3 linked regions of the Xenopus tropicalis genome follow. The protein of the gene in region 3 purifies or fractionates together with the protein of the main gene of each other region. This does not show direct contact. Links are inferred from orthologs where the notes say so. Each region holds a gene or a part of one and is shown on either strand. Other genes may lie near its edges. The genes, in order: spata2l, spata2 and cyld.

Region 1 (2,651 bases), about 7.9 Mb from region 3:
TTTAAAAAGTAACAACCAGAGTTCAGCAAATGCTGCTTTCAACAGTTTAGGGCTGACTGAAGAAAACAGAGCAGTCTCTGCCACTCTCATTCCCATTACAGAACTACAGGTACCCTTGGGCTAGGGGCAGCATGGGGGAATTTATAAATAGAAAGAAGTTGAGACCTAAACTCCACAGTAATACGGACACATTCCTACGGAATTTTTAAAGGCACATGTTAGTATTGCTTTAAAGGGAAACGAAAGGCAAAATCACTTGGGGGTGCCAAAATGTTAGGCACCCCCAAGTGACTTTAACCGCTTACCTCGTACCCCAGGCTGGTGCCCCTGTTAGGAGAAAACAGCACCAGCCCGGGGCACCTGGAGCGGATCGCTTCCTTCTTCCGTTGCTGGAATGCCAGCGGTGGGCGCATGCGCAGTAGAGTGAAAAGCCGACTGTTTAAGTTCGGCTTTTCACTCTACTGCGCATGCGCGCGCAGCGAATCAGGAAGAAGCAAGCGCCGGCAGCTACCCCGGGCTGGTGCTGTTCCCTCTTCACAGGGGCACCAGCCCGGGGTAAAAGGTAGGTGGTCAAAGTCACTTGGGGGTGCCTAACATTTTGGCACCGCCAAGTGACTTTGACTTTCTTTTTCCTTTAAATAGTGAAGGAGTCAAAACAGGCCCTGGCATTCCAAGTACACAGAGGCCCAAACAGCTCCACCCCCCCCCCCCCCACCAGCTCATTAAATAGTGACTGTCTATGGCATCTTACAGCAGCCCCTCTGGCATTTGCTAGAACCCACAGGTTGCCAGTTGCACTTCTATAACAGTGAAACCGACAGTTCTGCCACATTCATATCAAGTGCATTGTGATATAGATGTTGGTGGCAGGTGGCCATGGCAACCATATGGCATGCAAAAATCACAAAAATGAGGTTCTAGCACAAAATAGAAATGAAAGAGTCTCACTTTTATGGTATGAAACTCTCTCCTCCATGGTGTAAAATAAAGATGCAGACAGGCCTGTTCAAGTAAACTGAAGGCATTGGCAAGATCCTGTAAAGCTGAACGCAACCCCTTTTTCTGTCGTATGTTGCAAGCAATCAAAGAAAAGGCATCACTTCGAAGAGCACCGTGTAACTCTGGCTCCTCCAGCAAACGATCCCTGAGTAGGCCTGTAATACTGCATAGTGTAGTTACTCCACCTTCACAGGAAGCAAGCAGCCAGTTCTGGTACTGTGTTAGGAGACTGTCCTCATCCATCCTGAAAATGGAGTAGTATAGCAAATGTTAAACCAATATAATATTTTTTCTATTGTGACTTTGTTTTCCCTTAGCAGAAACGTGGAAATGTTATATGTGCTTCAACTCACAGAAATAAGAAACTTTATTAATATTATGAATTTAAAATTCTATACAGTTTCTAAAATAAATAACACTTTACTATCCTCCTCTCAGCAATCTATACCTACATGCAGCTTTGTGACAGAGTCTATTTTTTTTTGAAAGACAGCTCTTTATAAACACTGGGCAGTAACCCATGGCAACCAATCAGATGTTTGTTTTTATTGCTCAACTTGCTACATTCATTGTTTTAACTGCAGTGCTTTTAGAAGACCTCAATTGCTCTAACTGAGGTAAGGGACTTGTTTGTAACTGGCTTGAAACTGATTGACACTGGTTTAAATATGGTTTAAACACACCAACAGGGGTGTAACTACAGAGGAAGCTGACCCTGATTGCAGGGGGCCCAGGAGCAGGGTCGGACTGGCAGGTGCAAGGCCCACTTGGGCTAGGCCTTCACACACCATAAGGGGCCCCACCACCCGAGGTTTTTTCCCAGTGCCCAGTTCGCCCAGTCTGACCCTGCCACAGAGTGTAAGGGGCCCAAATAAGCCTCTAATTGGTACGAAATTCCAATATATCTTGGTAGAAAAGGTCAACTTGCCAATTGTATTTGCTGTTGGACCCAGTAACATGTAGTTACGCCACTTCATACAAACAGACAGGGCCCCCTTCAGAAATCACAGGGCCCCTCACAACAAAATTTTCAGGGCCCTCCTCTTCCTCCCACGCCCTGCCCCCTAATGGCCCCTCCCCCAGTGACCCCTCCCATCAGTACAAAGGACACACAAACATTGGTAGCCAGTGCCCCTAAAACATTGGTAGCCAGGGCCCCCCTAATACATTGGTGCCCAGCAGCAGTGCCCCCCTAGTACATTGGTGCCAAGGGCAGTACCCCCCTAGTACATTGATGCCCAGCAGCAGTGCCCCCCTAGTACATTGGTGCCCAGCAGCAGTGCCTCCCTCGTACATTGGTGCCAAGAGCAGCGCCCCCCTAGTACATTGGTGCCCACCAGCAGTGCCCCCCTAGTACATTGGTGCCCAGCAGCAGTGCCCCCATAAGTCAGTGTGCCCCGCAGCCCCCCTAATACGTTGGTGCCCAGCAGCAGTGCCCCCCTAATACATTGCTGCCCAGCAGCAGTGCCCCCCTAGTACACTGGTGCCCAGCAGCAGTGCCCCCATAAGTCAGTGTGCCCCGCAGCCCCCCTAATATGTTGGTGCCCAGCAGCAGTGCCCCCCTAGTACATTGGTGCCAAGCAGCAGTGCCCCCCTAGTACATTGGTGCCCAGCAGCAGTGCCCCCTAGTACATTGGTGCCAAGAGCAGTGC
Region 2 (4,020 bases), on a different chromosome or scaffold from region 3:
AAAGATTTCCTTGTCCCAGTACTTTAAAGGGTATCCAAAGCTATATTGCTTCCCCATATTAGAGCAATTTAAAACTTGAATTATGACAGGTGCCAATTTACTGTATAATGTATGGTTAATGTGTCACTTATCACTAAAGGACGGCCCGGCTAAGTTGCACTTTAATGGTATCTGACAAATCATGACCTGTGGCCTATGAGCCAAAGAGTTATTGGGGCGAACATAAAAGTGCAGGCCTTATAAAGGTTCATGTAAAGATCACATGATGCAACTTGAATTCAGTCCTGATACAAACACTTGGCTGTGATCGCCCTCTAGTGACCAAATAGGAAAACCACTAGTTTCCAGGGTTGCCCAGTTGTTAGCCATTTGCCCCATCACTAGGCAGCACTTTATATGTGGCACCTTGCGGCCATGTTGGGTTAGAGCTGTAACTGGATATTCTCATCCTATAAATGAGACGTTAAGGGTGTATATGTAGAATCCCTGTAGTAAAAATGAAGTAGCAGGAAATACCCAACTCCAGCCCACCCCCCATGTAAGAACATGGCACAGTTTAGGGGTCATTTAAAGCAAATGAGAAGCAAAGGCAGAACACACAGGCTTGAAATAAGTTTATATTTTAGACTTTGTTGTTTGATCTGTTGACACAGCAACCTCATACATCAAAATATACACAAAAAAAATAGCATGTTATTGTCACTCAGAAGTCAACACAGTTTGTACTACTATTATAGATGGCTATGTACAAGGGACTCCCTATCTCAAGCAAAACAGGGTCCCTCCAAGGTTACTGTACAGGTTACGTGGCATTACGGAGTATTTCGGATTACTGTAGTGCTGTTAATTACCTATAGATGGATATAGGACTCGCAAAACCAGAATGTAAATAGTGGACCAGCATACAGGCAATACATCAGAAAAAAAAAAAAATGATTAAAAGAACACCAAAATGATCACTGTACATTTATATATTTGTTTTCCTTCTCCACTATTTATATACATATTATCTACATTTATTAAAGAAACAGCAAAATGCCTCTCCAGAGCTGCCAATGCAACGTGAGAAAGAGCCAATATCGAAAGTGTGCATTAAGGATTATGTGCTCCGTAAGGGTCCATCATTTGCGCTCAAGCTTCGCAACGTCATAACATTAATATGCGATAGTGTAACATCATGGTGAAAGCTTGAATACCAGGAAAATGGCACTTACACAACCCCCAGTTAGCTGCCCGGGCACGAGCCACATTATAGTCATTTCAAACTGCAGTAATTAGAACAGTCCCACCCTCTCACACGGTGATACATATATTGCTTCTCTGAGATTCACATTGCGGGGTACTATGCACAAAGGAAGAGGTGCAGACTGTGGCGGAGCAGCTGAGCGCTTGGGTCGGGGCATTCAAGACACAAAATGACTTAAGGTTTAGGGATTTCAGTCTCCAAAAATGAGGGTCGTCTGCAAAGTGAAACTCCAGGGTCTCATAATTAAAATAAAAACCCAGAAACACCGGTATAAACTTATAAGGCTCATGGCCCAGACGCGTGACTTTCACACGGTTGAAAACGCACCCAAAACGGTCACAATGCTTTCCATTGACTTGAATGGGATGTGGCCAATAGCGACTATTGGTGCCTTTTCCTGCTTTGGGTCAGTAGAAAAGAACCCAGCAAAGCTGACTTTGTATGCAATACCCCCAAAGTCATGGATTTGCCCATTTTGTGCCACACAGCGGGCAGGAGGAATATATTCAGGCACAAAACACATATACAGATTTAGGGAACAAGCCTTATCATTCGGCGGCCATTGATATATAAGCGAGACAGTGAAATGACTGCATATAAGAACTGATGCCATCCTTGGCCAATAAGCCATTTCATCTGGCCCCATCAATTCCTGGAGCCTCATCAGATATCAAAAGATGAAGTGGTCCCATACACAGGCCAATGGGCTGCATAATTAGCCAGGAAAGACCCAATATCTGCCTGTGTATGGGCACAGAAAGAATGTGTCAATAAGCGCTTACATATTGTATAGTGAAATGGTTCCAGGCTATAAAGTAAAGCCTGCCAGAGTGTATTTGATATCTGTCATAAAACGTGACAGGACAGTTATGGCTTATATTGTCAGTACTGTGTATAACCTGCAGAACTGCTGTATTGATTCCCAGCAACCACTGGCTAACATTTATGCCCCCCATCATCCCCTACTGCGTACTCCCATGATAACATGTGAGGCTCTGCATGACTTTGGCCCTCCCTACTATAGGTCATTTTAGAAAAGGTGGTTTACTGCCTCTTTAAAATGAAAGGTTTTGGCTGACCACATCATCAATGATAGCAGGCTGTGCCCAAAATGATGCCAGACTATGCCCTCAGTCACTGAGGCTTCCGCTCATTGCAAAGACTGATGGGCAATAAATAAGATTGTGTAATAAAGAACCATCGGCTTCAGGATGACTTCATATGTTCATATATTCATATTTCCCTTATATGGGTATGAAAGTGCAACAGGATAAACGAGAACAAATGAGGCTAATTTAAAATTAGAACATTTTTTATGAACACGCTATACTGGCATACAGATATATATACTGCCCCTTAAAAGACCCAGAACAGTCACACATAAGCTATACCATGCACAGTACAATTATCATGCCACCCTGCAGAGCTGTGCTCACCTACATGGCATAGGGTGCTGAGCCGTGCTTATGGCACCTAGCTGGGCTCAAACATCAGGCGCACTCAGCAAATTCCCACTCATCACACACAGATCATAACTTCATGAAAAAAAACAAAGAAATGATCCAAACAATTCAGTCAGCAGCCTGAAAATATCCAGATATTCTTGCCACTAACAATTCTGGTAGGGCTGTGGGCCAAAAATACAGCGCTGATTTATAGACCAATCAAAGAGCTTTAAGCCCTATATACATAGGAAACACTAAATACAGGAACAGGCTACAACTTCCAAATTAATGGCCTGAATAACCACCACCTAATTACCCGACTTGCAGGTTATTTTTTGCATGCAAAACCAGATACCAGTTAACTAAGAAAACCTGATTATGGTCATTAAGGAATGAATCTTGATTTTCTGCCTAAATATTTGTGGAAATCTTAGGGTAGATGGGTTTAAATAGGCAAGTGTGACAAAACGTTGGCATCTTAATGGCAAATCTCCAAGTGCTTAACAAGAGTAGAGGCCTACAGCAAACGGCTGAAGGTGAGACAAAAAAAAAAAAGTACATGAACAATACCAAGCGTAACCATACTTTTTTTTTTTTCATTTTAGATTTTTTTTTTCAGGAAAATGCTCTCATTAATTTGGTTCCTTCTGGAAATGCACTTAAGATTTACAGCAAAACCACAAAGGATTTTATTGCACCAAATTGTAGCAGCGAGAACCAGAATTATCCACAGTATTTCCGACATCACCAAAACTAAAAACACAAAAAAACAAAACACTGATTTCTCCTCCCTGAACAGACAAGTCCAGTGTATTCCTGTTCCAGAGGCTTGGCAAGTCCAGTTAGCCCTTATTCAGCAAAAGGTTGCAAAGTCTATCTTAAAACAAGATGGGGCAGTTGGGATGACTTATAGTTCAGCTGATTGTTGGGTGCAAACTTGTGAAAATCGCTTTTCCGGCAGCAATATTCCCGACAGTAAGCAGTGATGCAATTGTTGCACGAGACTTTGGAGCAGACTGTGCAAGTGTTGGAGGCCCCCTGCCTGTTGCAAAACCCACAGCGCAGAGTGGACGAAGGCTTCATTTTTGGATTTTGCTGAGAAGCCCTCTCTTGGGATGATAAGCCGTATGAAGACTTCTCGCGCAGGACGGGCCCGGAAGAGTAACTGTCATTTTGACCCGTGGTTTTAATGGACAGGCTACTTTGCTTGTGTGATGGGACATCCGGTCTAAAGATGAGCACATTATCACACTTTTGGCACACAGGGCCACCACACGATACTCCGCAGCTTTGGCACTTCATGAAAGCGGTCTCTTTGGCTAAATGCGA
Region 3 (3,657 bases):
CTTGTGCATTAACAAAATCAAATACATGAAGTCCAGATGGCATTATTTTCAGTGCTCACCCTCAAAATGACACGAGCCTTATTCTTTTGACTATGTTTATTGATGCAAGTGGCTATGGGAACTTTGGTCCAGGGTCCCCCTGCATCAATGGACAATATAATGCTACTATAGCCGAGCACTATATGTAAGTGCAAGAAGTGACTTTGAATGTAAATACCTTTATTCAATGTAATTTTTAAGCAACAATGGCAGCAAACTTTGTGCAGCCACAACTTACAATAAGAGAATAAACCCTTATACCCCTCAAAACAATGTTAAAAGGAAAAGCATAGAGTTGACATATGCAGAGCATTCGCACCTGGAATTATATCATTAATATGGAGAAGAAGGGTGCTCTCAACACTTGCAAAGCTACAGAGTTGAATTCCATTGTATCTTCCATCCCAGTTTCCTATAGGGTTGTCCTAAAAATATACAGATTGCAGTACAAAACACATATTAGAAGAGCAGCAAATTGTTACGTACAATACTAGCTGCACATTGCTTTCTTGACAGATACCAGGTAACTAAAGCTGCCAATACCAACCATATGGTTAGGCATTTTGGTGTTATTTAAGCACCTAAGCACCCAAGCATATGTTGAACAAACATCCTGTAGTCCCATAATATAACTAGTCTATCAAGACAGATATCATGATCTGATCCTTATCTGTAAGGCATTAGCAGATCCAAAAGTGATAGCATATACTAGATGGGGCCTTACCAGCGCTCTGTTAAAGTGGAAGAATAACCCCCTCCTCCTGCAAATCCTTTTAATACAGTTAAGAACTTTGTTTGCCCTTGAAGCTGCTGACTGCTTTCTTGCTACAGCCAAGTTTATTATCTACTCCAAGGTCCTTCTCCATTATGGATTTGCCACGTGTGGTTCCATTAAGGGTATAAGTGGCTTGCATATTTTTACATCCCAGGTGCATGACCTTACATTTATCCACATTAAATCTCATCTGCCACTTAGCTACCTAGATTGCCAGTTTGTCAAGATCCTGCTGCAAGCATGCCACATCCTGGATAGAATTGACTGGGCTGCAGAGGTTTTGTGTCATCTACAAACACTGATACATTACTTATAATACCTGTAATCATTAATGAACAAGTTAAACAAAAGTGGCCCAAGTACAGAACCCTGAGGAACCCCTCTGAGAGCCTTACTCCAAGTAGAGAATGTAACATTAACAACCACCCTCTGTACCCGATCCTGTAGCCAGTTTTCTATCCATGTGCAAACGACTTCATAAGACCAACAGACCGTAGTTTAAAAAGCAGACGTTTGAGGGGCACAGTATCAAATGCTTTAGCAAAATCCAAATAGATCACATCTACTGCATCCCCACTGTCCAGCTTCTTACTAACTTAATCATAGAAAGCAATCAAATTGGTCTGACATGACCTGTCCTTCATAAAGCCATGCTGATTACTGCTCAAATTCTCCAGAACACAATTTGTATGTGATCCCTTAACAAACCTTCAAACAACTTGCCCATCACGGATGTCAAATTTACTGGCCTATAATTGCCGGGCTGAGAATATAATCCCTTTTTAAATATATGACATCAGCTTTCCTCCAATCCATAGGTACTATGCCAGAAAAAAAAGTGAGTCTGACAATTTCAGAAACAAAGGCCACTGTAAAACTGATCCTAGCTCTCTCAGTACCAAAGGATGTATTCCATCTGGCCCTGGTGCCTTGTTCACATTCATTTTGAGTAAACCTTTATGCACCATCTCCTGCATCAAGCACTGACTAGTTTGAGCTAAGCCAACAATGCAGCTATTGGGTGGGTCTAGGCACTCTGGCTCCTCTACTGTATACAATAAAAAAAGAACTGTTTTTTCTGTATCCATTGTAACTATTTGTTAACATAATTCAATGGGGCCACATTCTCAACCGGCATCTTTATACTTAAAAAACTTTTTAGGGTTAGTTTTGGCCTCTGCCACAATGCACTTCTCATTTTCTATCTTTGACTTCCGGAGTGCTGTTTTACAACACTTGTTATAGTGTTTATATTAATTAAATGCAGCTTCTGTCCTCTCTGACTCTGACTCTTGTATTTGTTAAACAACTTCCTTTTTTTCCCTACTAACTTCTTTACCTCTGAATTAAGCCTCATAGGGTGGTTCTTAAAGCTTCTATATTTACTTCTTAAGGGATTAAATTGAGAATAGTAATGATTTAATACCATTTTAAGTAACAACCATTTCTGTTCTGTGTTTTTAGTAGAAAACATAATGCCCACATCTATTCTCTGAAGCACTGCCCTAAACTTCATAGGCAGGAATGTTTGAAAAGGTGTAACTGGCCCTTTAAATTACACTCTGCAGTGCCAAAAAAGCCTTTCAAATTGTAGCATGAAAACCATTTAGAGAATCCCACAGTAATATCTTTTTAGGGACCCAAATCTTATAAAAAATGATCATATTTTCAAATCATGCATTATGCTTATACAGTCTGTACTGAAAATGCCAGTATACATTTTTCCCCTGTATAAAAAGTAATGCATGTCTTACCATGTCAACTCCAACAAAGTATCCAAGACTTTCTTTTCCAGGCAGAACATCACAAAATATAACAGTTCCAAACTCCATACCCTCCCCAATCTTTAAAGACACTCTGGAATTGATCTCTAGGGGAGGGATCTCTGACTGACTGTTGTCTGCAGGAGATGCATAATCACTCTCAATGTCCTCATCGTCATCCTCACATAGCTCTAACTTGTCTACAGCTACAAACACTCCACATTCTTCATCGCATCTGAAATGTTGCTTGCCCTGGTAGGAGCCCTCTGTAAAACCTTGGCCCCGTCCATCTTCCTAAAAAAAAAATAATAATAAATCTGTAATTTTCCCAAAATTTGACGTTTAACATTTATTTTACATGCAGAAATATAAAGTTGGTATCCAAGTTAAAGGAAAAGTAACACTAAAATTTTTAGCTTCCTGTCGATTGAAATACGGCGATATGGCGAAGGAAGGAGCAGCAATCACTATGCGACGATCGATTAATCGAGCCTAGCCTTCTTTCTGTATAGGAAGGAGTCAAGCTAGGCTTGATCAATCGATCGTCGCATAGTGGATGTGGCTCCTTCCTTTATCGCCGTAGTGCAATTGACAGGAAGCCAAGTTTTAGCAGGTATTTTCTATTAAAACATTTAAAATACTAAGTGGTTTGCAGGATAGTTATTGGTGCAGGGTAGAATAGCTTTTTTACTTAAAAAAATTTAGTGTTACATTTCCTTTAAGTTTCCAATGATCTGGTAATATTTCAGTATACTTAGCAGACACTGCATGGGGACTTTAAATTAGAAGCAAGAAACTTGTAGGGCACAAACAACTGGGACAGAAGAAACCACAACTGCTTACCAAACCCTGGCAAAAATAACCTGAACGAATGAAATTACACTGAAACAATTGGGACAAAGTGTATAAACATGTCTGAATAAATTATTTTTTAAATGAAAGCACACAGGATAGGTCTAGTGTAGGTCTAGAGACTAATGGGCCAGATCTGTCTCTCCAAGGCAATTTTAATGCCTCTGTTTCCTTAGGCTTTATTTTAGAAAATGTTATTTACTTTTAGAAAATAAATCTTCCTAACCA

Evidence for each region.
Region 1: the proteins of cyld (region 3) and spata2l purify together in Homo sapiens (affinity purification with mass spectrometry; 3 studies listed by BioGRID and IntAct, with this or other methods). This does not show direct contact. The link is inferred for Xenopus tropicalis from reciprocal best matches to the Homo sapiens genes CYLD and SPATA2L.
Region 2: the proteins of cyld (region 3) and spata2 purify together in Homo sapiens (affinity purification with western blotting; 10 studies listed by BioGRID and IntAct, with this or other methods). This does not show direct contact. The link is inferred for Xenopus tropicalis from reciprocal best matches to the Homo sapiens genes CYLD and SPATA2.

The regions. Positions count from the first base shown.
Region 1 is NC_030680.2:59,167,447-59,170,097, forward strand, and holds part of spata2l (spermatogenesis-associated protein 2-like protein), read right to left. Parts: intron 1,244-2,651; 5' UTR 1,243-1,243; coding exon 949-1,242; intron 1-948.
Region 2 is NC_030686.2:36,155,090-36,159,109, forward strand, and holds the end of spata2 (spermatogenesis-associated protein 2), read right to left. Parts: coding exon 3,565-4,020; 3' UTR 600-3,564; downstream 1-599.
Region 3 is NC_030680.2:51,226,909-51,230,565, forward strand, and holds part of cyld (ubiquitin carboxyl-terminal hydrolase CYLD), read right to left. Parts: intron 2,872-3,657; coding exon 2,569-2,871; intron 465-2,568; coding exon 359-464; intron 1-358. UniProt on the Homo sapiens protein: Deubiquitinase that specifically cleaves 'Lys-63'- and linear 'Met-1'-linked polyubiquitin chains and is involved in NF-kappa-B activation and TNF-alpha-induced necroptosis.